4 linked regions of the Arabidopsis thaliana genome follow. The protein of the gene in region 1 purifies or fractionates together with the protein of each later gene. This does not show direct contact. Each region holds a gene or a part of one and is shown in the gene's direction. Other genes may lie near its edges. The genes, in order: AT4G18440, AT2G19940, AT3G19480 and Fes1A.

Region 1 (5,383 bases):
CCAAACAAAACCAATCATGATCCATTAACCAACCCTACCATTGATTCATGTTCTTTGTCTTCTCGGGTTTCTTGCAAAACAAGAAAATACAGGGGAGTACGGAAGCGTCCGTGGGGGAAATTTGCAGCCGAAATCAGGGATTCGACGAGAAACGGTGTTAGGGTTTGGCTCGGAACGTTCCAAACTGCAGAGGAAGCAGCTATGGCTTACGATAAAGCCGCGGTTAGAATTAGAGGTACTCAAAAAGCTCACACAAATTTTCAGCTCGAAACAGTTATAAAAGCTATGGAAATGGATTGCAACCCAAACTACTACCGGATGAACAACTCAAATACGTCCGATCCATTAAGAAGCAGCCGCAAAATCGGATTGAGAACAGGAAAAGAGGCGGTTAAGGCTTATGATGAAGTCGTTGATGGGATGGTTGAAAACCATTGTGCCCTTAGCTATTGTTCAACTAAGGAGCACTCGGAGACTCGTGGTTTGCGTGGGAGTGAAGAAACTTGGTTCGATTTAAGAAAGAGACGAAGGAGTAATGAAGATTCTATGTGTCAAGAAGTTGAAATGCAGAAGACGGTTACTGGAGAAGAGACAGTATGTGATGTGTTTGGTTTGTTTGAGTTTGAGGATTTGGGAAGTGATTATTTGGAGACGTTATTATCTTCTTTTTGACAGAAATACATTGAAAACTACCGTTGCTAATTTGATAGGTATACATATATAGACATGTATATATTGTATAATTATATGTCAAGATTATTTATTTATTTTACATTTTTCACAAAAAAAAACGTTAATCTATTTTTCTGTCACAAGTGTGTTTTTATTCATACTACATACTACAACGCCAATTTAACATGCCAAATATAAAACATACATGGGCAAAGGCCCAACAGCCAGTTTAAAGAACTTTGTCTGAAGAGAAAGTTGTTGTATATATCACAAGGGATATGTGGTAATTGGGAAACATGTTGGGTTGACACGTGGGAAATTGAAGGAGATGGAGTTTCCGTCACTGGTAGAATCTTCTAACACTAGAGAGCTTCAATTCAGGTTGAAATCGTCAGAAAACTAATGCAGACGGTAGATCTCAATCTTCGCCCAAAAAAACTATTTAGCTTGATGAGAATAATTTCACTTAATTTAAATTTGTAATTTTTTTTCATTTTCTTTTTCAATAGACAACTTTTCAATTTTCAAGTTGCAGTTCATCAAACCGGAACAAAAGTTAGCCTATAATCGCCAAAGAGATAAACGGCGATACAATTAGAAATAAAGCCAGCCATCGACGCTATAGAGTTTTGGGATCAAGGTTAAGCTACTTTATCCACCTTGATCTCATTCAATCTCTAAAAGCTAAATGAGTTTCGATTTAGGAATTTTGTCTATTTTCAATCGATAAAACGACATCGTAGTGTACAGTAAACTAATATCGTTTAGACATAACAGAGAAAACTAACAAAAAATTAACACCGTAATTTTTTTTTGTGAATCTACTTATCATCATATCTAAATAGTAAAATGTTTACATTTAGTCATTTAACGCCACCATTGAGACCGCCGCTTGTTAACCCATTTCTAATCTTATACATGACATATAATTGTACTAACTAACCTCAAATGGTATTAATAAACAGTTTTTGGTTCATTTCAGTTATATCAGTATATGACAAACTCTTAGTGAGATATAAATCTACACATAAAACACATGAGTATTGTTTTGTCATTGTCCAAACATTTTTGATTCACAATACGACGATTTATAAATTATTAAAGTTTCCCTCCAAATTATTTTGAAGGCATTTTTAATCCATATATTTGAAACTATTAATAAACGTGTTCAAAATAAAGGATAAGGTGATAAGTAACAAATAATCCTCCTCCAATAAGCGTAATAAGTAGGGACATCAAGGGTAAATATGGAAGAAAGAAAAAAAATGCACATGTGTTTTTTTTTAATCGGAATCTCCTAAAACCCTATATATCGGCGGTACAGTTACGCAAAGCTTCCAGTGACTCACTCACATCGTGCTTTGATTCTGGAATCTAGGTTTAAAGTTTAGACCTTTGAGATCACACTATATCAAAAATGGAGCTCAATTTCTCTTCAATGGCTATAACACACCCCAAAATCCCTTCTTTCGGTTTTACACCCACCGGAATATTCCTAAACCCATCAAAATCAGTGTGTTTGGCTTCACATCATCGGCTTCCGAGAGTTTCATGCTCTGTTTCTACTACTACTGATTCTCCCAAGCTAGTGACTTCAACAAAGGTAAGTTTTTTATTTGTGGGTTTTGCTGAAATGATGTGTTGTTTGGATGTTTTCGATAAGAATTGGCGATAAATTGATATGCTTTAGGTGACGGCAATGGATGGAGTGAGCTCTAGAGACTTGGAGATGTCGAATTTAACGGCGTTATCGCCTTTGGATGGACGTTATTGGAGTAAAGTTAAGGACTTGGCTTCTTCTTTGAGCGAGTTTGGATTGATCTATTTCCGAGTTTTTGTCGAGGTAAGTGAAGGGTTATGATCTGATTGGTTGATTGATTGAGAAGATTGTACTAGTTATGTCATGCTATATCTCTTTGTACGAGTAGTTTAGTTGTCTGGTCTAGTGTACTCATTTGCCTAAACTTTGATATTTTTATATATTTGTTAGATCAAATGGCTTCTTAAGCTTTCGAATATTCCTGAAGTCACTGAAGTTCCAAGCTTTAGCAAAGAAGCTCAGAGTTTCTTGCAAGGCATAATCGATGGATTTAGCATAGACGATGCATTGGAAATTAAGAAGATTGAGAGAGTAACAAATCATGATGTGAAAGCAGTGGAGTATTTCTTGAAACAAAAGTGTGAATCACAACCAGAGATTGCTAAGGTTTAGGTTCTTTTCTCTCACTTATAAGTTCTTAGGGTTTGGATGCTTTGATGCCCTGTAACTAAAATTTTGGATGTCTTTTTACTGAGTTAGGTTCTTGAGTTTTTCCATTTCGCTTGCACGTCTGAGGACATCAACAATCTTTCCCATGCTTTGATGCTTCAAGAAGCACTTAGTTCGGTTATACTTCCTACCATGGATGAGCTGATCAAGTCAATCTCTCTGATAGCTAAGAACTTTGCTTATGTCCCCATGCTTTCACGAACTCATGGGCAGGTAATGTCCAAAGAGAAGACCTTCACCATTTTACCTTTCCCTATTTATCTGTATCTATCTCTTTACTAATGATTTTGTTTACTATGAATTGTAATGCAGCCAGCTACGCCAACAACTTTGGGGAAAGAAATGGCGAATTTTGCTGTGAGGTTAAGCGAAGAAAGGAGATATCTTTCAGAAACTAAGATTAAGGGGAAATTTGCAGGTGCTGTTGGGAACTACAACGCCCATATTTCCGCATATTCGAATATTGACTGGCCTCATGTTTCCGAGGAGTTTGTTACTTCTCTTGGATTAACATTCAACCCATACGTGACTCAGGTAATATAGTTTATATTGATCAAACAATCCTATTCAAATTCATAAAGATCATCGCTGATTGATTGTTCTGTGTGTATTTTTTTTGCAGATTGAACCTCATGACTATATGGCTAGACTTTTTAATAATATCAGCCAGTTCAACACTATTTTAATTGATTTTGACAGAGATATATGGAGCTACATATCTCTAGGGTACTTTAAGCAGGCAAGTGTTAATATAAGAAAGGAAAAAAAAAGATGTCAAATCATTTGAATCTGAATGGGAAAATCGTCTCATTGTTTGAGATTTTGCAGACAACTAAAGCGGGTGAAATTGGATCGTCGACAATGCCTCACAAAGTGAATCCTATTGACTTTGAGAACAGCGAAGGGAATCTAGGGAAAGCAAACGCAGAGCTTACTTTTCTCAGCATGAAGCTTCCCATTTCACGCATGCAGGTTTTAACATTTCTCCATATTCTATGTATCTCAGCTAGAGTGATGGAAGTAAACTAAGCCTGAAAAATGTACAATCTGCAGCGTGATTTAACTGATTCAACTGTCTTGAGAAACATGGGTGGAGCTTTAGGACACTCTCTTCTCGCTTACAAGAGTGCGATACAGGGAATCGGGAAGCTTCAGGTATTATTACCGTAGCCCTAAGAAATGTTTCCACTTGTCACAAACTAAGAATGTTCTTGATATAGGTTAATGAAGCTCGGTTAAAAGAAGATTTGGATGATAATTGGGAAGTCCTTGCTGAACCAATACAAACTGTAAATTTCTCGAGTTTCTAATCTTCTATATCAATCAAGATATTTGATGTATCTCTAATCCACAGAAGTATTATGGTATCAAATAAAGGTGATGAGGAGATACGGTGTCCCTGAGCCGTATGAGAAGCTGAAGGAGCTAACAAGAGGAAAAGCTGTGAATGAAGAAACCATAAGAACGTTTATCAAAGGTTTGGAATTGCCTTCAGAAGCAAAAGACCAACTTCTGGAGCTAACTCCACACACATATGTTGGTGCTGCTGCTGCATTGGCACTGGCCGTGGATGAAGCTCTGCACTTGGGACATTGATGATGATCAAAGTGGTGATAGATTGTCCTCTTTTATTATGGTATTCTTTTCGAAATTGGTGGAAAACAGAGACAATTTATAGGTCGGTGACTTGCAAGTCGTCGTTTAAAATGTTAAGAAAAATCTTGTACCATTGTTGTGTTATGTTTCCTCTTTGAGTGTCTGTGTTTTATCTAAGTCTTGAGCTATAAGCTGTGGTCAATGATTCTCGAACCAATACAAATTATTGTAATAAAATAGGTCATATACACATTGGTGTCAAATAATAAAGAGTTCTCAAGTTGAAATTCAATTTGAGTGGTTTTTGTTTTTCTTTATAACCAAGTGTTATGTAGGTATCAAAATCTAGCAAATATATATGCATATAGTAGTCAAATAAATTGTCCACAGAAACAAAACTGAGAAATAATAATGTTAAAATGTTGTTTGTCAATTAAGAGCTTTAAGTAATTCTTCTATTTATTGCTAACATTTACATGAACACAAATGTTTTAGCCTTTTAGGTCTAAAATAAATAATATAAGATCTATCTCAAAAACAAACTTACTAGTTTCCTTTAGACTTGATCTATTACTAAAAGTCTAGTACATGTGTCCAACAATAATCTCAACTCTACACTATATTTAGTGTCATATAAAAAAAATCCTTAGAAGTTAAAAATAGAAATGGAAAATTTCATGACAATATACCATAAAAAATCTTTTACCTAGATATCTTCCTACACATTGCTATAATTTTATTTATGAACAAATTTCCCTGTGATTTTATTTGAGAAAAGCTATAAATTGAATTATTGAATTGAAGACATAATAATATTGTTTTTTCCTGCAAGTGTATATTGTTCTG
Region 2 (5,674 bases), on another chromosome or scaffold:
ATAAATAGTTTTGTATGTGTAACGACATAAATGGTAGTTAATCAAGAGAAAAAGGGAAAACAATGCCCACCAAAAAATTGATAACGACGTAAACCAATCATGATACCGTTCTTGGCAATCCCTTTGTATGTAAAGTAATGGTCAATGCTATATGTTGATGAACTTTTCTGGACATCCGCGAATTTGACGGTTAAAACATTATCATCACCCAAGACCTTGTGCAAGTGTGTTCCAGTGTGTTCAAGAAGAGGGCCCTGTGAACACAGTGTGTCGATAAGTATATTGAGTCAATGTCAAGGTGCAATGTTTGATAGACATATCAATTGTTTTATAGACATATGATAGCGACTTACAAAGAATTTCTTCTACAGCTTGAATCAAAAATATTACACAAAGTACATATGCCTAATGGAAAAAGCAAACAGAAAAGATAGTACTTGAAGAGCTGAAAGAACCTTGAATGTGTAGCTACCATTGGGAGCAACATTACACTGATAGTAATGGGTCTTCCCGCTATCCCATTGCAACTGGGGAAATGAAGCATGATAGAAAATGCAGTTAATACAACTTTGATACCAAACTCAACTTCTTGTAAAATTACCTTCAGAAACGCAAACATGAAAATATAAACAAAACCCAATAGAATAGAACAATACCATTCTTCGGTCCTTTTGGGGACAATAATGCCGGCCCAAGCGGTCCCAAACCGCTGCTTCATATTCAACCATTGGCAAATCTTTCCACAGTCTAATCTCATCAGCAGTTATAACCTGGCCCACATGTTGCCTGTATAACATCAAATAAAGAAAAAGTTAAGCATCACCAAAAGAGGTAATTGTCACCATCAAAACCAAACAATTACAATAGGTGGATAAGAGAATATAGAGATGTAAGAAATTGGGAAACTTGCATAACAAACATTACCCTGGAATATAGCTAAGTAACAAAAACACCTTCTTAAATTCAAGTTCACCCAAAGCTACCAGCTGGGGAATGTGCAGAGATCCTCCTTTGTCTTCACTTTTCAAAGACTTAGGAGAAGGAGCATCAGAATCAACAGACATCTCTTCTGCAATCGCCAACAATCATAAGAAAAGTAAAGATTTTTACTATCCAAATTCACATTTTCACAAGCAAAGAGAGTTTGTTTCTGATACTAACCTTGAAGAACCCTGGACACGTGTCTTCCAGAGGGGCTAAGAGAGTTCGCCGGCTGTGGATAGCCAGTAAAACTAACGGCTTGGTTAACCTTAGAAACGATGAAGCTGTCGAGGTTGTATATCAAACCAGCCTGCAAACTAAAAACTTTCCTGACCAACTCAAAACCCAAATTCTCAGGAATCGAAGACAGTCTCTGTCTCGTCTCATCATTAATCGGAGTAAGATTGTGTTTTCTGTAGATATTCTCTAAAGCTGTTTCAATCCGACCCGAAAGAGCGATCCTTATCCTCGAAGAAGCTTGATTCATGCTGCGAAAATTTATCATTTTTCTTCCCGTTCGTCGGAATCTCACACTTTCTTCTTCTTCTCTCTTACTTCAGAATTTAAGGGTTGCCAAAAAAAAATACCCAGTAGAGAAACAGTTTCTACTGTTAGTGATTGGATTTGATTTGACGATGACACAAGAAGAAACAGAGAGGAAATAAAAAGGTCGGAGCTTTTTCTCTAGATTTTCTTTTGACTCCATTGAAACAAATTCATCTAACCGCTTCGGCGCTTACTCAAGTAATTGACATGAATGCCTTTACTCTTAGTCTGGGAATTACCAAAATGCCAGATTTTTGTCGTCACCCGATGCAAACGCCAAGACATATCGCGTTTTCTGCAAACGATTAATTCGTCGATAAACCGGGTTGAACCACGGGTAGCCTGTTCAGTAAACGGGTTCGATCCCTGAAACGGCACCGCTTTGATAGGTTTTAAGTAGGGCTAGCTGAAACGTCGTCGTTCTTGCGTTTTCGTCCCACAATCTTTGTCGTGGTTTTCTGCTGTCTTCTTCTCCGTCGAACTTCTCCGACCACTTCGTATAGAGAGAGAGAGTGACGAAGAGTTTACGGGTATTTGTTTCATCACTACCATAATTGACTCTCAATATCAAATCACATTGAGAGAAGCTAATTTCTTCTTGTTCTTAGCAAAAAGATTAGTCTTTTTTTGTTCCTGAATTTTGTTTTTTGCAGAATCGAATCCAATAATGAGTACTGCGTCGGCTTTTAGTTCAATCCAAGGATGCTGGTTCAAGGTCAATTCCTAAAACTCTTCAAAATCTCTGTTTTTTTTCCCACTGAATCCACATTCAAGCTCATTGTAGCTTGTGTTGTGTTATTGCAATCTGATAATCATGTAAATGTGGGTTTTCTTTGTTTTGAAAAGGGCGAAAGGAAAATTGTGTAGCGGATAAGCGAGCCAAGAGGCTTACTTTGGGATCCCATGTGGCTTCGCCATCTTCAATGAGCTTCAGAGTTTCAGCTAGTAGTTCTGTTAAACCTGAAAAGGATATTAGGATTGGTCTTCTTGGTGCAAGTGGCTACACTGGTGCTGAGGTTTGTGCAATGTTGAATCTGTCTGTTTCAAGTTTAATTTTCTTGGAATTGTTTGTTTTAGTGATCTCTTTGGTTTTGCAATGAATCAGAGCTTAAGTGGTATGCATCTTGTTGCAAGTTTTTGACTTTTTGGGTATTGGCCTTCTAATTTAGCTTAAGCTGTAAACATATGCAAAGTTAATCTTTTCTCGATAAAAGGAAGAGAAAAGTCTTATAGTCGTTGCTTTAAAGTTGTTTAAAATTACAAGGGAAAGAATGGATGAGGCATTCAAGGTTTCATTCAAACCCATGAGATGGTAAGTTTACTCTTCTTTATTGAATTGCAGATCGTTAGGCTTCTTGCAAATCATCCGCATTTCCAGGTCACTTTGATGACTGCTGATAGAAAAGCTGGCCAGTCAATGGAAAGCGTTTTCCCACACCTGAGAGCTCAAGTATAAGTGATTTCTATCCCTAGTAATATACCAAGAAATGAATCTGTTCAATGTTACTTTGTGATGGTGTATATTGATTAATAATTGAACCTTTACTGTCCACAGAAACTACCTACTTTGGTCTCGGTAAAGGATGCAGATTTTTCTACTGTGGATGCTGTATTCTGCTGTTTACCTCACGGAACAACTCAGGTTCATTTTCCTTTCATTCTTCCATTTCAATTTCTTAAAGCTTTTCTTAGCTTAACGGAAATGAGTGTGTATTTCAACAGGAAATCATCAAGGAACTGCCTACTGCATTGAAAATCGTTGATCTTTCAGCGGTAATCCTTGAAGAACTGTTTTTTTTTTGTTCCTTTTCTTTCAGTTATAAGCCCATCTAAAATACGCTTTTCAGGACTTCCGGTTGCGTAATATTGCAGAATATGAAGAATGGTATGGTCAGCCTCACAAGGCAGTAGAGTTACAGGTACATTTCTCTCAATGTTATTCCTTGATTTTAGGTCTGTTGTGTTCATAATGGTTATACTTACCAAGTGTCCTACGGGGTTCAGAAAGAAGTTGTGTATGGTCTAACAGAGATACTAAGGGAGGACATAAAAAAGGCACGACTTGTGGCTAACCCAGGCTGTTACCCGACTACGATTCAACTTCCTCTTGTTCCTTTACTAAAGGTTTGTTTTTCTATTCTTTTCTGGTATGCGATTTTACTTAACTGCCTAGTCTTCCGTCTCTCTACTCAATGTGTTGATTTTGGTGCAGGCAAATCTCATCAAACATGAAAACATCATTATCGATGCAAAATCTGGTGTTAGTGGAGCAGGTTTGAGCTTACTCCGTGATCAATGAACAATGATGCAATGTTTCTAGTTTCTTGACTGATATGAAATTTTCATCAGGACGTGGTGCTAAGGAGGCAAATCTTTACTCTGAGATAGCTGAAGGCATTTCTTCTTATGGTGTCACCCGTCATCGCCATGGTATGTCACAAACTAATTATCACAATGAGTTAAAATTTTGCCATGATTTGAATTCAATATCTCTTTTGTTTTGCAGTTCCTGAAATTGAACAGGGATTATCTGATGTTGCACAGTCAAAAGTAACAGTCAGTTTTACGCCACATCTCATGCCAATGGTACAAATAATCTTAGCATGATTTCTATAATTTTTAACCTTAAACCCATTAACTGATCCTCAGTTGTTTGGGTAGATCCGTGGAATGCAATCGACTATATATGTGGAAATGGCTCCCGGGGTTAGAACCGAAGATTTACACCAGCAATTGAAGACGTCTTATGAGGTGATGATTACTCTTATGTTGTAAGCCAATTACTACTTTTGTTACTTATTATGTTTCAAAAATGTTTTGTAGGATGAAGAATTTGTCAAAGTGTTGGATGAAGGAGTTGTTCCTCGGACACACAACGTTAGAGGATCCAACTATTGTCATATGAGTGTCTTTCCTGATCGAATTCCTGGAAGAGCTATCATAATCTCAGTGGTAATTAAGCATAACCATCCTCTGTTATAAACTCATCTTTAGCTTTCGACAATATTGCTTTGTGTATAAAAAGCTCTCTGGTGTTGCAGATTGATAATCTTGTGAAAGGAGCTTCGGGACAAGCGTTGCAGAATCTTAACATAATGTTGGGATATCCCGAAACAACGGGGCTCCTACACCAGCCGCTTTTCCCTTAAAAATCCCACCTTTAAATCGGTAAAATAGCATTCTTCTCTCTTGTTGGCTCTGTATCTTGAAGATATTTCTGTCATTAGATTTGCCTGCTTAAGCGTTTGTCTTTATTCCTATCTTCAGATGACCAATCTGAAGCTGTTGAGACGGCAATGTTAAGCATAAAGATGGTTGGTTATATGATTCATATTTATAGACAATAAAGCCTCTTCTTTTACCATTACAAATAAATGGTTTTGTTGTTTGTTTATTAAGGTTTTGATGAACCTTTATTCTTGTTATCTCTATTTTCTGAATTGCAATTTTCGTTTGAGTCACAAAAGAAAGTTGAACTTATTCTATTACAGATTGTTGGATGTGGCGGTGGCCAAAATACATATTCAGCTTAGGGTGACCAAAACTAAACCGAGTTCGGGCGTCAGAGAAAATAAGTAAACCGAACTTTAATAGGCTCAACAGATATATATTCAAATGCTTTTAAAACCAACCATGCCTATCAATCAAGTGTGTATAAACCCCATTTACCAACATTATGTTCTTCACATACCAACAGGTTAGATTGGAATATCGTAAGAAGCAGCCTCTATATATATAAAGTTTTAAAAGTCTTCTCTATAATCCATAGTTATGCTTCTTTCTTCCACATTACTCAGCAATCTCTTAAAACCACCATGTGTTGCTTTCTTATGGAATCTGTTATAGTCTGAAAACGTTGTTGGTCATTGCCGCAACTTCCTGGGCCTCGGCTTGCTCCTACACGAGATTTAGGAACGACAACAAGTTGAGTTCCATGACTGTGATGTGATTTTCAATGTAAAATGACCAAGCATACCTGGAGTCGGTGTATTAGATACATCAAGAAGAGATGAACAAAGACCTGCAAATTCATAAATGATGTCAGCTTAATGTTCCATAAATTCACAAGTAAGGCGAATGAGATTGAAATAAGCGAGCGCCTTACAAGGTAAAAAAGTAGGAACATCCGTGCTATTGGGTACCGCCA
Region 3 (4,429 bases), on another chromosome or scaffold:
TCTAGTGCAACTTAATTAGTCGACCATCTATTCCTTGCTTACTTTTTTTCTTCCTCTTTTGTCATCTTCTTTGAACAAGATCATTATTTGTTAGTCAATAACATATTAACTTGTTTCTCATACTTGTTTTTGTTTGCCATATATATTTGAATTCGTTTCCAAATGGTGCACACGCTCCTTCCCCTGCAGCTAATCGTTTGTTACTTTCAGTCCCCTTAAGTTGGAGCAAACTGTATGCTTCTTGGTTGGCATTCTCCGCGAAAGCATGCATCGTTTCTTCCAAGAGTCTTTAGGTATTGATAGTTCATCGTTTTCTTTTTCTATTGTAACACAGTAGCAGTTAAAGATAAGTCGAACGGGTGATCTTTTTGTTCATTAGACAAAACTAGAGAGGTTTCTCTTCTCTTTCTTCTAGTAAGGAACAAGGCTAAGGTTAATAGATAGCTAGCTATCTGAGATATCTCACAAAAGCTTTCACTATGGCCCTGTACTATATCAACTTCATATTTTAGGTGTTTCATATTTCAGATAAAATGTGCTCATATCTTCTTCCTCTTTGTTCAGCGTCTTCTGCAAAAGTGATATAGATCTTGACATGCTGCTAAAATACCTCTTGATATATTTAGTTTTTCTTACCAATTTAAGTTATAGCATAATCCTTTTATCATGTTAGTTATTGTTCTATCCTAATTGTCTAGCATGGAGTAGAATGATTTTGAAGCAGGGACTTGTAGAACGATTTTTCGTGTGCCACAGGTTTACTCCCTTCCTTAATGTGGTGACCAGCGCTTGTCCTTGTGGTCTGTCCACTCATTCTGCTATCTTTCAACGAATATCACAAAATAATAGTGGTTAGTATGTCTCATATGATTACCTTAAATTTAGCGGCTACTGACTGATGAATCATGAGGCTTTACGCTACTACTATTTCTCTTGTGTTCCACAAGGCGTTTCCAATACTTGGTGATATCCTCCAACGACATCTGCCTAGTATTTTGACCTTGCCAGTTGCCAAATCAATTAATAAACCCTTCACCAGAAGATTCTTACTACATCAAACAATAAATAAAACTAAAGTTTGACTGGAAGAAGAGTTTTGGAACGTTAGACAAATTTTCAGCATTTGACGATATGAAAGATGTCTAAATCTAAAGAAACAGAGATACAATTCTTTCAATATTATATACTTGCTAACTATCAAGAACAGGCATGAAAAAATAAAAATATTAAAAAAAAATACATATTACTATATAGAATTCATATGTCATCGATAACTTTTACATTATTTTTTACAATCCGCCTTACTTAAACGCGCCTTATCTAATAGATATATAAATGTATCTCTATTTATATTATAATTTAATTTAAAATCAATATAAAAAAATGTGTTTTTTCAATTTTTAAACCACATAACCTAATAGTATAATATTTGATATATTATTATTTTGTTTTAAGAATGTAGTATATTTGTATTTTATTAGCAAAACCATTATTAAATTGTAACTTTTTTTTCTTCTATATAAAGTTTCAAAATCCACTTAAGAAGTGAAGATATAAGTGAACAAAGGATGTAGCGTAATCTAGCACAACATATTTAAACCTCACAAAACCCACCCGAAAGATGAACCCATATCTCTCTACTCTGTTGCTGACGATACATACACCTTTACTTACATTATATTCCCGCCATCGCGATGGCGACGTCTCTGAATCTATCATCGATCTTCTCCTCCTCCTCAAGGCTCGTCACCACTCCCTCCTCTGTTTTTCCCATCCGTCAGAGGCGACGGATCATCCTCGTTACGTCTTCTTCTTCCGGAGGTGGAGGAAAACCGACGATTCTCGTAACGGAGAAGCTAGGCCAAGCGGGGATCGATCTGCTTAAGAAGTACGCTAATGTGGATTGCTCTTATGATCTGAGTCTCGAGGAGCTTTGTACGAAGATCTCTCTTTGTGATGCGCTCATCGTCAGGAGTGGTACCAAGGTTGGGAGAGATGTGTTTGAATCGTCGCGTGGGAGGCTTAAGGTTGTTGGACGCGCTGGTGTTGGGATTGATAACGTCGATTTGGCGGCGGCGACTGAGTATGGGTGTTTGGTTGTTAATGCTCCGACTGCGAACACTGTGGCTGCTGCTGAACACGGAATTGCGCTTTTGACCGCCATGGCTAGAAACATTGCTCAAGCTGATGCTTCTATCAAAGCTGGTGAGTGTTTTAAACGGTTGTTGAATTTGAATAGCGATTTGAGAAATTGCGATGTGAAATGTAGAAATGTGGTTGTTTGTAGGCAAATGGACGAGAAACAAGTATGTAGGTGTTTCACTTGTGGGGAAGACTCTTGCTGTTCTTGGTTTTGGTAAAGTTGGATCAGAGGTTGCTAGACGAGCCAGGGGACTTGGTATGCATGTCATTACACATGATCCTTATGCACCAGCGGATCGTGCACGAGCTATTGGTGTGGAGCTTGTTAGTTTTGAAGTAGCTATTTCAACTGCTGACTTCATCTCTTTGCATCTGCCTCTTACTGCTGCTACTTCGAAGATGATGAATGATGTGACCTTTGCGATGATGAAGAAAGGAGTCCGTATTGTTAATGTTGCTCGTGGTGGAGTTATTGATGAGGAAGCTCTTTTGAGAGCGCTTGACTCGGGTATTGTTGCTCAGGCAGCTCTTGATGTTTTTACAGTAGAGCCACCTGTTAAAGATAATAAGTTGGTGTTACATGAGAGTGTCACTGCCACACCTCATCTTGGTGCTAGTACTATGGAGGCTCAGGTATTACATACTGTATATTCGTTTTGCCTTTAGTGCATTTTGTTCTGCTCTCCTGAAACCTTTACTTGACGCCTAGGAAGGAGTGTCTATCGAAGTCGCAGAAGCTGTTATTGGAGCTTTGAGAGGAGAACTTGCTGCTACCGCGGTCAATGCACCAATGGTTCCACTAGAGGTAATTTCAGACTTCACTATAGAGTCCTTAATTCAGGATCAAGTTTCATTCTTCTAGTTCTTGGTGATATTGCAAGTAGTGATAATGATTTGTCCTGCAAATTCTCTGACACTGTTCAGTTGCTATCTGTTTTCAGGTATTGAGGGAGCTGAAGCCGTATGTTGTACTTGCTGAGAAGCTTGGGAGGCTGGCTGTACAATTGGTAACTGGTGGAAGCGGTGTGAATGCTGTGAAAGTGACTTATGCTTCTTCCAGAGCTCCTGATGATCTCGACACTAGACTTCTCCGAGCCATGGTCATAAAGGGGATCATCGAACCCATTTCCAGCGTATTCATAAATCTGGTTAACTCCGATTATATTGCCAAACAACGTGGAGTCAAAATCTCAGAAGAACGTATGGTTCTAGACGGCTCACCTGAGAATCCAATTGAATACATAACTGTTCGGATAGCAAACGTGGAATCAAGATTTGCCAGCGCTTTATCAGAGTCCGGTGAGATCAAAGTAGAAGGCAGAGTGAAACAAGGGGTTCCAAGTCTTACCAAAGTCGGATTATTTGGAGTGGATGTGAGTTTAGAAGGGAGTGTGATTCTGTGCAGGCAAGTAGATCAGCCTGGGATGATCGGTAAAGTTGCTAGCATCTTAGGAGATGAAAACGTCAACGTGAGCTTCATGAGCGTCGGTCGAATCGCTCCAGGCAAGCAAGCTGTGATGGCAATTGGAGTAGATGAACAACCAAGCAAAGAAACTTTGAAGAAAATCGGAGACATTCCTGCCATTGAAGAGTTTGTTTTCCTCAAACTATAGGTTAATACTTTACATGGATGCACATAAGAAAAAACTCAGAGATCGATATAATCTTAAATGATGATTTATTCTGTACTAATGATACAATCGAGTGTACATGAAACAAATTACATAGTTGATTTTTTCCAAAGCGGCATGTCGACGAAGTGATGTGTTATTGTTGCAGCCAGCCAGGGATTTTTTCTTGTTTTCTCAGAGAGAAGAAATACAGAGATTGATGGAGCCTATGAACCAGTGAGAAATGGGATCTGAGCCACAGTTGTTGGGATCTCGAAATGAAGATTATGAACGGCCAGATAAGCTGCGATACCAGCAGCATAGCCAGCAAAAGCAAAACCACTAACCTGCATGGAGAAAAAAAAAAAAAACTGAGTTTCTTGCGCAGAGCCACAAGAGTATTGAGTTTCAGTCTGGTTAATGCAATGTTGTGTTGTTGATCGTTAGACAAGCCGGAAGAATGTATCTTACCTTTCGGAAATACCAAAAGAAATCGACTTTCTCCATCCCCATGAAGGCTACACCAGCAGCAGAACCAATGACAAGCATCGAACCACCAGTGCCGGCACAGAATGCAATGAGCTGCCAAAATTCAGAATCTTGAGGGAACGATGTGAGATCATACATCCCCATAGTCGCTGCAACCAGTGGAACATTGTCTATGATTGCTGATACAA
Region 4 (4,637 bases), on another chromosome or scaffold:
CCAGAAGAGACAAAGAGCAAGCAAGATCGAAACAAAGACTCCTCCGGCTAAAAGAATGGAACACACATATTAAAGAATATATGAACGAATCTCGAAGCTATATTGGAAGGATCTTATGATAGAAAATGGAACCTGAGAGATAGGAGAGTAAGCTAAGGTCTTTGAGCCAAACTGTAGGAAGAACAATAAGAGTAGCTGATATAGCAAAGATCTGAGGAGAATCTAGAGATACTCCAACGATGTTTAATGTAATGTTGGGGAAAACTCTCGATAAATTATCGCTCATCATGATTATATACTCCACACAACATACGTATAACTCCATGTACAGAAGTATCTGCAACTCTCAAAAGAGATCAAGAACCCTATATATTAGTTTGGAGATATGTGAAGTATATATGTAAATCATTTCCATATAACTCACGGAGATGATGAGGCGGCCTGTAAATCCAAAGGCAGCTTGACCAATGTCCGGGTAGGTACGGAGATCAGAAGAGCTCTCAAGACATCGTTTGAGGAGGATACCGGTGTAGCAAGTGATGATAGCAAAGGATAAGAGTATACAAAGCCCGAGCCATCCTCCTTCTTTCACCGCGTAAGGCATTGTGAGTAGACTTATTCCACAAAGGACATTGATTCCTTCACCAAAAATAGGTTCAACTTAAAGAGAGATTGAAACTTTTCTTTTTGTTATGACGATAAAATCTATTCAACCGAACCGAATGCCTAAACCCTAAAGACTTTTGAGACAGAATCAATATCGATACTACTACGTCTTACCATTTAGAACAGATTGGGGAAACGAGCAGAAATTTGGTTCTCCATACGAGAGATCGGTGTTGGATAACCCGACCTGAGATGAAAGGAATGATACATCGTCTTTCTCAGAGAGCAGCGGTTGTTTGCTTGTGGAAGACACAAACGAATTTGCAATAGAGGTTGGACGTCTCTTGTATAAGGAAGCGATGGAGCTACTGAATGATGTCTCAGTACTTCTCCCTTGTATGAAACTGACCATAGGAGGTGTAACTCCGGTCAAGAGATCCACAGAGTGTCTGAATTTTACATGAAAAAAAGAAGGAAGAATCTTCACAAACACTTCAAATAATTTCGTTAGATATCGAAAAACAAAGTATTTTATTTTACCTATAACTCTGAGGCCAGAAAGCGGAATCATTCTGGGATAATGAAAAAGATGCATTGGAATCATCGTCGTCATTAACATATGAGACATCGACATGGCAGTCATCGTCATCTGTCTGAATCAATATGTCCCTTTCTTGCTCCTCAAGATCCATCTTCGTCGTCTCTGCTTCAAAACAGAGTTAAATCAGAGCAAGTAACAGATTCCAGGACAGAACAAACGAAACAGGAAAAAAAGGAGGGAACAGAGAAGTGAAATGAATATTGGAAGAAATATAAAGAGACGACGAAGAGACTCGGTATTGAGTTCGATGTGTTGTCACGTCTGACGTCTGTCAACTTTGTATTAGTCTTAGGAAAAAAACACTTTGTATTAGTCCATTGATACTACTTGATCATATGTAACGAATTAAATTCTGGTCGACTGGTCGTTAAATTTAGAGTGGAAGGTAACGTTCACATGTTTAAAAGGTCCAAAGTCAAAAGGTACATGCGTGGCATAGATTTGCCAATAAATTAAAGAAAAAAAGGTAAATTCAAGAAAGGCTTATCGAGCTAATTTAAGCCCAATAATACTGAACTATTTGGGCTTGAGTCTTAAAGGCCCAATTTGTGGAGGAGGCGTCATCGTCTTCGCTTTTCCTTTTCCCTTGAGAGGTCGTCGACGAGGTTTAAGATTTTTAAGAATGTTGTAGTAGCTTCGCGAATAATCTCAGGTCTTCTATAAAACCAAACTAGCGATTAGCCGACTCTTCCTCTTTATTATTACAAAGACGAAAAGGCTTCGAGTTTTGTAATTTCTTCTTCTGTTACAAGTTCTTTTCACTGTGAAAGTAATTCTTCAATGGCGAAAGACGGACCTAATTGGGATGGTTTGCTTAAGTGGAGTCTCTCTCACGCCGACGGTACTCGACCCACTCGCCAGTTGAGGTACGGACATTCATCTTGTAGTTGGTTTTTTAGGTTCTGTCTTTTGATTTGTCTGAAACTGATGGGATGCTTGGTGGGTAGTTTAGGTATCTGTGTGGCTATGATTGAGCTTTCACTTGAGGAGATGAATCTTATGAGTGAATTCGAATCTGGGTTTGTTTAAAGTAGTTTTCTTTTTTGAAGATATCTGTTCAGTTCATCGGTTTGGTTAAGATTCAATTATCGAATTCTGCTGTTATGTAGGTGAAAGGTTATCTATTTTCTCGTTTTTACATGAAACTCTGTTAATTTTTTTTAAGGGAATTCACGATTTGTTCATGTCAAATCATTCTGTATGTGTTTTATTGTGGATTGTTTTGTTGATTTGAGTTGTTTTAATGAGACAGTGAGGAGGATCGAAAATGGTTTATGGAGGCTATGCAATCGCAGACTGTAGATGTAGTCAAACGCATGAAGGAGATTACACTAGTTATGCAAACACCTGAACAAGTTTTGGTGGAACATGGAGTAACACCTGAAGATATCCAAGGTGCGTAATTTGTGGCTATAATACATAGCTTAGATCTTTATCTTTTGCCATTGTGTGTAGGGTACTAATTGAGTTTATTATTCTGGTAGATTTGCTGGATGAGCTGCAAGAGCACGTTGAATCGATCGATATGGCTAACGGTACATTATCTCTAACTTGGACTTTGCTTTTTTTTTTTTTTTTTTTTTCTTTCCTGTTCTGGTTAGCTCAATTTGAACATTGCTTGTAACAACTTGTTTACTTACTATTGTGTAGATCTTCATTCAATTGGAGGCTTGGTTCCTCTTCTTAGTTTCCTTAAAAACTCTCATGCTAATATTCGGGCAAAAGCTGCGGATGTCGTTAGCACAATAGTTCAGAACAATCCTAGAAGTCAGGAACTTGTTATGGAAACCAATGCTCTGGAGTCATTGCTCTCGAATTTCACTTCAGACACTGATATTCACGCTCGAACCCAGGCTCTTGGCGCAATATCATGTAAGCCTGCTTCTGATAGTTCATTTTTAGTAAAGATTGAGATGATCAAAAGCTTTTGTGATTTCTATTTTACTTGGTTTGTGATACTAAAAGAGACTTATCTTTTCAATATGGGATGTAGCTTTGATTCGCCATAACAAACCAGGAGTAACGGCTTTCAAGCTTGCCAATGGTTATGCTGGCCTAAGAGACGCCTTGGCATCTGATAGTGTGAGATTTCAAAGGTAACCCACACAAATATTCTTATCATCTGCGGATATAAAATCGTGGAAGATTCTTGAATTGTTGCTCATTTTCTTTATTCAAATTCTCCAGGAAAGCCTTAAACTTGTTGCAATATCTACTGCAAGAGGATGATTCAGACCGCAGTATTGCCACTGGACTTGGATTCCCCCGAGTGATGATGCATCTTGCCTCTAGTGACGATGCTGAGATCAGAGAAGCCGCTCTTCGTGGATTACTTGAGCTTTCAAGAGAGAAAAACGATGGAAGTAGCAGCATAGATAAAAGCGATGAGAAACTGAGGCAGCTACTAGAAGAACGGATCAAAGGAATCACCTTGATGTCACAAGAGGATCTTGAAACGGTTAAAGAAGAGAGACAGCTCGTGGATTTACTGTGGAGCATTTGCTACAATGAACCTTCTTCTCTGAGAGAAAAAGGACTTGTCGTTCTTCCCGGTGAAGACGCATTGCCTCCTGATGTCGCTAGCAAGCTCTTTGAGCCTCCTCTTAGAGCTTCTGCAGCAAACCGTAATGCTACTGAGAAGAAAGATGAACCTATGAAACTACTTGGACCATAGACGAGAAATCAAAGCTAAAACTTTTTATTACTTTTCCTTGTTTTTTATGTTTTGTAACTTTTCAAATTGTCAGAAAAGTTTCATAGATATATGTATTATGTCAATGATCAAGGGCTATGTTATGTTAATTTTTGTTTTCATCATTCGAGATCTTTAGTCTTGTTATTGTTGAGATTAAGAATATTCAGCTTCAATGCTTTTTCAATTCAACAAGTGTTCTATACGATTTCGGTTTAGCAACAGCTAATACGGACCCGATCTAATTGATCGGTTAAAATTGGTAACTTTGAATTGCGGTGAACCGAAGAACAAAACCAAAGCGAACGTCACAATTACTTTGCAATCCCTAAAGGGACAGAGTTCGAATCAAGGCAGTCTCACATATCGGAGAAATCTCTCGTCACGTCTCTCAGCTTCGCCTTCAACACCGTCGTCGCCGTCACGGCCAACTCCGGTATTGTTATATAGATACAATTACAGTGAACTAGATAATCTCATCAAACCCTGATTCTTTCCACTTCCTCGCACGATTGTGTGAAAACAGTTACTTTCGCTATAAATAGTCTGATCTTCTTTCTATTGAGCAGTAAGATTGGAAGCTGTTGTTTCGAATCGATTCAAGCCTCGAATCTGAGTTTCGGATCGATATTAGAAGCTAAGGTAGGAGCTTTTTGAGTGAAGGAGTTATGGTATGGTGTAACCATTGCGTGAAGAATGTTCCCGGAATACGCCCTTATGATGGTGCATTGTAAGTGT

The links.
Region 2: the proteins of AT4G18440 (region 1) and AT2G19940 fractionate together in Arabidopsis thaliana (co-fractionation; one large-scale study listed by BioGRID). This does not show direct contact.
Region 3: the proteins of AT4G18440 (region 1) and AT3G19480 fractionate together in Arabidopsis thaliana (co-fractionation; one large-scale study listed by BioGRID). This does not show direct contact.
Region 4: the proteins of AT4G18440 (region 1) and Fes1A fractionate together in Arabidopsis thaliana (co-fractionation; one large-scale study listed by BioGRID). This does not show direct contact.

The regions. Positions count from the first base shown.
Region 1 is NC_003075.7:10,185,539-10,190,921, reverse strand, and holds AT4G18440 (L-Aspartase-like family protein), read left to right. Parts: upstream 1-1,940; 5' UTR 1,941-2,089; coding exon 2,090-2,275; intron 2,276-2,362; coding exon 2,363-2,515; intron 2,516-2,662; coding exon 2,663-2,878; intron 2,879-2,971; coding exon 2,972-3,154; intron 3,155-3,253; coding exon 3,254-3,475; intron 3,476-3,563; coding exon 3,564-3,680; intron 3,681-3,769; coding exon 3,770-3,913; intron 3,914-3,994; coding exon 3,995-4,096; intron 4,097-4,161; coding exon 4,162-4,230; intron 4,231-4,318; coding exon 4,319-4,537; 3' UTR 4,538-4,849; downstream 4,850-5,383. Other genes in the region: AT4G18450 (Integrase-type DNA-binding superfamily protein), read left to right, coding at 1-672.
Region 2 is NC_003071.7:8,610,974-8,616,647, forward strand, and holds AT2G19940 (Putative N-acetyl-gamma-glutamyl-phosphate reductase), read left to right. Parts: upstream 1-1,952; 5' UTR 1,953-2,057; intron 2,058-2,060; exon of another isoform or gene 2,061-2,180; 5' UTR 2,181-2,194; coding exon of another isoform or gene 2,195-2,229; coding exon 2,230-2,242; intron 2,243-2,373; coding exon 2,374-2,543; intron 2,544-2,869; coding exon 2,870-2,977; intron 2,978-3,082; coding exon 3,083-3,169; intron 3,170-3,249; coding exon 3,250-3,300; intron 3,301-3,374; coding exon 3,375-3,446; intron 3,447-3,531; coding exon 3,532-3,651; intron 3,652-3,739; coding exon 3,740-3,800; intron 3,801-3,876; coding exon 3,877-3,957; intron 3,958-4,033; coding exon 4,034-4,113; intron 4,114-4,188; coding exon 4,189-4,278; intron 4,279-4,350; coding exon 4,351-4,479; intron 4,480-4,568; coding exon 4,569-4,676; 3' UTR 4,677-5,144; downstream 5,145-5,674. Other genes in the region: AT2G19930 (RNA-dependent RNA polymerase family protein), read right to left, coding at 71-254, 456-527, 657-786, 925-1,069, 1,162-1,486; GC1 (golgin Putative 1), read right to left, coding at 5,368-5,424, 5,504-5,548, 5,633-5,674.
Region 3 is NC_003074.8:6,750,896-6,755,324, forward strand, and holds AT3G19480 (D-3-phosphoglycerate dehydrogenase), read left to right. Parts: upstream 1-1,526; 5' UTR 1,527-1,694; coding exon 1,695-2,205; intron 2,206-2,287; coding exon 2,288-2,775; intron 2,776-2,851; coding exon 2,852-2,947; intron 2,948-3,083; coding exon 3,084-3,755; 3' UTR 3,756-3,890; downstream 3,891-4,429. Other genes in the region: AT3G19470 (F-box and associated interaction domains-containing protein), read left to right, coding at 1-19; NHD1 (sodium:hydrogen antiporter 1), read right to left, coding at 3,980-4,099, 4,224-4,429. UniProt on the Arabidopsis thaliana protein: Involved in the plastidial phosphorylated pathway of serine biosynthesis (PPSB).
Region 4 is NC_003074.8:2,869,229-2,873,865, forward strand, and holds Fes1A (Fes1A), read left to right. Parts: upstream 1-1,741; 5' UTR 1,742-1,987; coding exon 1,988-2,073; intron 2,074-2,159; exon of another isoform or gene 2,160-2,459; coding exon 2,460-2,602; intron 2,603-2,691; coding exon 2,692-2,742; intron 2,743-2,857; coding exon 2,858-3,079; intron 3,080-3,200; coding exon 3,201-3,303; intron 3,304-3,394; coding exon 3,395-3,881; 3' UTR 3,882-4,104; downstream 4,105-4,637. Other genes in the region: AT3G09340 (Transmembrane amino acid transporter family protein), read right to left, coding at 1-47, 133-337, 425-639, 781-1,055, 1,147-1,298; AT3G09360 (Cyclin/Brf1-like TBP-binding protein), read left to right, coding at 4,568-4,629.